Oryzias latipes: one gene and its partner. The protein of the gene in region 2 purifies or fractionates together with the protein of the main gene of each other region. This does not show direct contact. Links are inferred from orthologs where the notes say so. Each region holds a gene or a part of one and is shown on either strand. Other genes may lie near its edges.

Region 1 (4,225 bases), on a different chromosome or scaffold from region 2:
CACCCCCCCCCCCAGATCCTGAGCAAACAGCCTCTCCGGCTCATTCCAGTCTCCACAGGCTCCACCCATGCTGCCCGACCCAAACACGGAGGAGCCGGCTCATCAACCGTCCCGCCCCCACAGCAGAACTGCATGAAGACGCAATGAAACCTTCAAACCCGAGTCTGAATCCGACCTACGTCAGAGGGAAACTCAGAGAGAAGAGGTCCGACTTTAAGACACCCCCCGACCAGACTAAAACTGACCCGAACCGAGAGGAGAACCGGGCCGAACCACCCAAAAACCACAGCAGGCATCCACGGCATCCAAACCCGACAGCAGGTGGCGCCCTGGAGCAGCACCTGGACCCCAGGAAGAGGTCCCACAGGCCGAGGACCCTCCAGAGCAGGGGCCCCAAATCCAGGCCTGGAGGGCCGGTGTCCTACATGTTCTAACCAACCTGCCGCTCAAGCTCCTTATTGGCTAAACACACCTGACCAGGTGACCAGCAGGACACGTGCACGCACATCCGTGTACACGCACTACTGTCCTTAAGATATTCACGGTGTTGATCCCGCAGTCTGAAAAAAGAAGCACGTGGGCTGCTGTGGTCTTTGACTCGCTTCTAACCCGATCCACTCCAGGCTAACCCGATGACGCGGTTCAGCAGCTGGTCGGTGTCTTATGGAAGTGTCCTTGAGCAAGGCACGCCGCGCCGAACGCCGTCCCATAAGCTGAATGGGGCGCAGTGCACGGAGCTGGTTTAACGGAACCGGCGGATAGCACACCGGACGCGTGACCTTGCGCGTGGTGGTCATCATCGTTAGCCCAATCACTACCCCCCCCCCCCCCCCCCCGCGCGCTAACAGAGACAGACGTTAAATGCTGTAAACAACCAGAAATCCCATCATTTTCTCTCTCCTCACCATTTTTGAGCGCTTGCGCAGAGCTGCACGTCTTCACTGAGAGAGCTTCGGACCGTCTGCACTTTGTCTCCACGTGAGGGAAGCCTCCAGATCGCGCATGCGCAGTAACGAGGCGCTGACAGAAAGCTCCAGAACAGCGGGGCTGCAGGCAGACCCGTACCTACAGTTCCGGTCTATCTAGGCCGCATTTGTCATTGAAACGGTGATTTCGTTTCAAAGTCACTCTCTACGGGCTCGCGCAATGTTGCACAATGTGACCTTTGACCTCTTTTTTTTCCTCCAATGGGGTACGGAAAATTCTGGAATCGTAGCCCAGGAACCAGCATAAGTGTGCGTTGCTGCGTTTCTCTGTTAGTTGTAACAAAGTTCATGTGAGAATAAATGATCAGAACATTCTGCGCAGGTATGAATAAACGTCTCCATGAAGATTAAAGACGGGGATAACAACTTGAACGTAAAAGAGAAGTTTTATTGAAGTAGTTATGCGTCATACAGAGTTCTGGGCGGGGCCGTACATAACCCGGATGTGATTCCCCACGTGCGGTATTCTCCGTTAGATCACTCGTGCAGCGCGTGCGGCAGATCGCAGCGGTTCCCTGTCAGGTAAGAACCGACCGTCCGAACCCGCAGCAGGGATCCGTCTCTGCGCGCGCGGCACTTTGTCCTGTCGGTGCGTGGAGAACCGAACAGAACCGAGCTCGGGTTTGTCTGAACAGCCGGTTCTGGCGTATGCGGACCGGTTCGTCCTGATGATTCCGGGACCGCGGCAGGGACGTGTCAAATACTCAGTTACCCCCGTGTAATCCCGTTACTCTGGAGCGGCTGAGGGAATCCGTCCAGGGAGCCGGCACGAGCTCTAACGTTTGACCTTGTGACGTACGACCGGAGGAGCTCACGTGGGGAACCGGGGGCTGTGAGCAGACTGCGGGGCATGTGGGGCTTTAATAACCCCTCAGACTGGTTCTCACCAGGCGTTACCCGGTAGGACCAGGTTCTAGTGCCCCCAGGAGGGGTTAAGAATCCTTTATTCATGAAAAGCTTCATTTGAATGAAATAAGCTGCAATTATTATTCCGAAAACTGTAACAGCCGCTGTTGTTCTGGAAACTAAAGTTTATCTTTTGGTATTTCGGTCATTTTAAAAGGCGTGTTTGAGGAAATGGTAGCAGATCTGTCACCGTAGGAATGAATGAGAGGCAGCTTGGAGGGTCCCATCAGTTATACTCCACCAATCAGAAGTTCGGGCCCGAGGCCGTGTCCTTGACTCCGCCCCCTTACCTCCTCCCGTCTGGACGCATGGAAGCTGCGGGAATGTCGGGCTGGGTTCTGGATGCTCCATTGGAGCTGATGATGGTGGAGCGTTTCTGGCTTTAACCTGACCGTCTACAGCATGTGTCAACCTCAAGGCCCGGGGGCCAAATGTGGCCCTCCGTGTCATTTTATGTGGCCCACGAGAACATAAAGGTGTTTAATTTCTTGGAATAAAAAATAAACATTGGTGTGTATTTATTCATATCTGGGGGGAATTGGATTTAAATGTTGGATTGGTCATCTATACATCAGGACTTAAACACTGTCCACATAACCTAACCTGACAGAATCAAATGTAAAAGGATTTGTGTTAGAATAACAAGCAAACATATGTTTTCTATGCAGCTGGAATTGTCAATTTAAAAAGTTATAATAAATAAATAATGAGTTATTTATCATTAAGGAGTAGTTGCATTTATTTTCATTACATTTAGTTACATGTATAAGTTACATCTGGCCCTTTGAGGACAGACACTATGCTGATGTGGCCCTCAGTGAAAATGAGTGTGACCCGCTTGTTACAGTTTGAAATGCTGCTGAACCAAGATCAGGCCGACTGAGGAGAAACAAGTCAAAGTCAGCTTTGTTGTCAAATATGCTGCAGACACAAGACAGACATGCAGCACAGATGAAGTTACTTTCCTCTCCCCCCACAATTTAAGCAGGATGTTCTGAACTTGGTCACAAATTCCCAGTTTCAGATGATGTTTCTGGTAAAAATTAACTGCTTGCTTGTGCTCAGTCTGCATCTTAAGGATGCTTAGATGCTGCGTGTCACGTGGGTTTGCTTAAGTTCCCGCTCACTGTAATTCCACTGGTGACCACCGGGCGGTACTGCTGGTCCTGTAGGATCCTCAATGGCTTCACTGCTTTTCTCCACAGAGATGTTTCGTTTAGCGACAGTCATGAGGCAGGTGAGGCCCGTGAGCCGGGCGCTGGCCCCTCATCTCACACGGGCCTACGCCAAGGACGTGAAGTTCGGGGCGGACGCTCGGGCGCTCATGCTGCAGGGGGTGGACCTGTTGGCGGATGCTGTGGCCGTCACCATGGGCCCAAAGGTAACAAACCCGCTGACGGGTGGATTAGGTTTGGAAACAGAACAGGAAAGGTGTGAAAGTGCTCCAGTCGAATGTTTTAAGCATCGTCTTCCCGGTCCAGGGACGCACTGTCATCATCGAGCAGAGCTGGGGCAGCCCCAAGGTCACCAAGGACGGCGTGACGGTGGCCAAGAGCATCGATCTGAAGGACAAGTACAAGAACATCGGTGCCAGGCTGGTGCAGGATGTGGCAAACAACACCAACGAGGAGGCTGGCGATGGCACCACCACCGCCACGGTGCTGGCCAGAGCCATCGCCAAGGAGGGCTTCGACAACATCAGCAAAGGTGCAAACCCTGTGGAGATCCGCCGCGGCGTCATGATGGCGGTGGAGGCGGTCATCGGCGAGCTGCAGAGACTCTCCAAGCCCGTCACCACCCCAGAGGAGATCGCACAGGTCTGGGAAGGGCATCCGGTTGTCCTGACGCCGTCTCCACACGGTCACCCTCACTCATCACGCGTGTCGTTTCAGGTCGCAACCATCTCAGCCAATGGAGACACGGAGATCGGAAACATCATCTCCAACGCAATGAAGAAAGTGGGCCGCAAAGGAGTCATCACCGTGAAGGTGAGGGGGAGGGGCTGCGAGGAGTCCACCCACCGGAGTGGAGAACATCCTCCGGTTCTGGATGACCGTTATGTGGCAAATGATGGCAGCACGTTCTGCGTCCATACATGGGGGGTTGGACCAAAGCCTCTGAGAGGACTTCCTGTGTCCTCATTGTCCAACCTTTGACGGCGTCTAGAAGCTTTCTGGTTAACATTCATTCCTTCTGCCGCAGGACGGGAAAACGCTGCAGGACGAGCTGGAGATCATCGAGGGCATGAAGTTTGACCGCGGTTACATCTCTCCCTACTTCATCAACACCGCCAAAGGTAAGGCTCCTCCCCCCAGCCTCACCTGGAAGCAGCT
Region 2 (2,788 bases):
TAGGCATAAAAAATAAAAAAAGATTCTACCCACACAGTACAAAGCAATGACAAATTTATTAATAGCTAACATAATAGCTAAGGTGTTAAACACTTGGAAAAGAGTAGGAGTTTGCATGCATAATTATCAGTGACAAAACTAAGTCCTATTTAAAGGCGAGGGGATGGACATGGTGGCAGAATGTTTTGGACCTCATCCTGTGGGGCGATGACCCTTTTTCAGTTTTGTCTAGGGTTCATTCTTTGGCATCCTCTGCTTGAAAAGAGCTGCAGCTTTTCCAGCAAAGGGGAGTTAATGCTGATAACAGTGTTGTCAGGTGTGATGGATGACATCAGTTCCATGATTAGGTAAAAAAATCAAAAATAAAAAAATACACCGTCACCTCAAAGAAATCAAGCTCAAACTGTTGGGCTAACCCATCTCAGCAACTGGCACTAAACTGAGAGCTTACTGGTTTTCCAGAAAAAAAGAACAGGAAAATTTAGGTCGGGTTTAGTATTTAATGAAATGGAGGCTAATAATTTAGTGTAATGTACAAAAATGTATTACTTAAACTGCTTATTATTAAGTTGTTTTTTCTGTTTTGAAAAGGGGCATTTATTCACATGAGTATACACTTTGTCTTGGACTTCTTTTTCTTCTTTTTGCCCTCCTTGCTCATCTTCTCCTTATGCTTCCGGATTTCTCTGACTAATGTATAAAAGGCATCATCCACGCCCTGGGAAATAAGGCAAAAAAAAAAAAAAACAAGCAAATAAATGTACAAAGTTAGAGTTGGAAAGTTACAGGTCATTTAAAAATGCACATTTAACCAAGACATTAAGGATCTGAAATGATGTTTTAACCAGTTGCACAAATTCAAGTGGCTAAAACATGGTAGATTAGTCTAAGCAATGACATATCTTTCATCTTAGAATAAAGTAAACAGACAATTTTATTTTTTTTTAAACAGAAAAAATACTTTCAAACCATTTTTTTTCAGTGCTACCGCTTTTTTTTTTTTTTTTTAAGTGGGAATTTCTTCAGACTGGAGACATTAGACGAGCCTTTTATTCTCGCGCTGGGGTGAAGAAAAGGCTTTGTGCTATAATACAGCTCGTGCCTGTTGATGCCACACTGACGCAATTGTCTGAGAGCTCCAACAGTTTGTGTAGTTCAAGAAATGCGACAATAATCTGCAAAAAGCTGTTGAGTAAAGAGCCTTGGGACACTTTATGTTGTGAAGACAACCAGAGAATGCAGAACAGACATGGAGAGATTCGTATAGGCAAAACACACACAGCCTTTGTGGTCAGAATTTTTGCTGTTTTTTTGCTTTTTTATTTTTTTTAAAGACATGAATATTTCAGCATGATTTAGTCCCACATTCACCATTAAATTTTTTTTTTTTTTTAAAAGAACCTACAGCCGCCCAAGATGGCTTAGCAACCCAAAACCATGTACACAAGTTTCTTTCAGCACAGAAGGATATTTTCACACTGGTAGTTTTCCCTGAATCTGGTAAAAACGTGACCAAACACTTGATTGGATCGATTCCTTTTTTAGGCCAGGAGTCCTTTAGGAGGTCGTTTTACTGCTGAAACAAGGACTGACAAATGCTCCTCCATGGGGAAGGGATAAGGCAAAAGAAACCCATGAAAAAGAGTTCAGACATCCATGCAGAAGCACACCAGCTGCGCAAATCAAACTTCCCCAAACTTGATGGATGAACCCAGTGTGAAAATGACCTTAGACAATAATCCACCACAACACATGGAGACTGAAAATAGAAGAAATCAAAACACGTCAGGCTCGTGTTAGAACCTCACCACAGTCCCAATAAAAGCCAGCAGGTTAGCTTTGACACCACATGAAGCACCAGCTTTGGCTCAGTGTCTTCCTCCATCCCTCGTCCGCCGTTCCCCCCAACAACACACAGAGCTGATGGGTGCGCGGCTGCGTACACTTACCCCTCTCACATCACAACACACTTTTTAAGGTTGACACAGCGTGGAGTCTTTTCTTCCTTGCTGAGCTTACTGAGCCGGTACTGCCTGATCTCCCGTACCAGAGTGTAAAAGGCATCTTCCACTCTCTGCGGTATAAGACACAACTCTCCTCAATGGCGAGGAATGTAGGAGCACATTCTTCATGGTGTCAGAAATTTTAAGATAAACATGGGGATACTCCTGAAATGCCGGATTTGTCTTCTCTCCAAACTCTTAAAAACTCAAAGAGTTTGATTGGATGAAAACTGAGCAGCAGCTTCTGCAGGCTTGGAAATGAGTCTAGTTTCCTCCCCATAAAACGTAAAAAAATGAAATATATAAAACCTAATTAACTAACTATTTTCTATTCCTGGAGCTTTTGCAGAGGAGACTGCAGAGCTGTTCTTAAGCAAAATAATGACTGAAGTAAAAGGGACTATGGAAATTGGATTTCTTCTTGTATTCCAAAACTGTTGAAAAGTATGGACATTTGTCCTGAGAACTCAAATAAATCAACACAATTTATTTAAACAATAATACTAAATAAATAACAGCAATGCAGGGCTGATGCTCCTCTCAGCAATAACCGTGTAGCTCTGTTCATATCGGTTGATTTAGAGGCAAAAAAATATGGGGAAAAAAAAATCCACAGCTCTGTGGGATTTGCCTTTTCACACAAAAGTAGAAGTATGCTGTCAAAAATAAATCAAACGATTGATATGAAGGGCCTTATAGTTTTAGAGATACCATAAAGAACTGACATGAACTCACAACAAAGACAACTTTATTCTATTGCTTAGCACTCCGAAAAACAGCTATTT

Evidence for each region.
Region 1: the proteins of kras (region 2) and hspd1 purify together in Homo sapiens (affinity purification with mass spectrometry; 3 studies listed by BioGRID and IntAct, with this or other methods). This does not show direct contact. The link is inferred for Oryzias latipes from reciprocal best matches to the Homo sapiens genes KRAS and HSPD1.

The regions. Positions count from the first base shown.
Region 1 is NC_019879.2:154,354-158,578, forward strand, and holds the start of hspd1 (60 kDa heat shock protein, mitochondrial), read left to right. Parts: upstream 1-1,396; 5' UTR 1,397-1,508; intron 1,509-3,097; 5' UTR 3,098-3,099; coding exon 3,100-3,273; intron 3,274-3,373; coding exon 3,374-3,709; intron 3,710-3,784; coding exon 3,785-3,880; intron 3,881-4,094; coding exon 4,095-4,188; intron 4,189-4,225. UniProt on the Homo sapiens protein: Chaperonin implicated in mitochondrial protein import and macromolecular assembly. Together with Hsp10, facilitates the correct folding of imported proteins.
Region 2 is NC_019864.2:21,729,579-21,732,366, reverse strand, and holds the end of kras (GTPase KRas), read right to left. Parts: intron 2,075-2,788; coding exon 1,955-2,074; 3' UTR 1,950-1,954; intron 719-1,949; downstream 1-718. UniProt on the Homo sapiens protein: Ras proteins bind GDP/GTP and possess intrinsic GTPase activity. Plays an important role in the regulation of cell proliferation.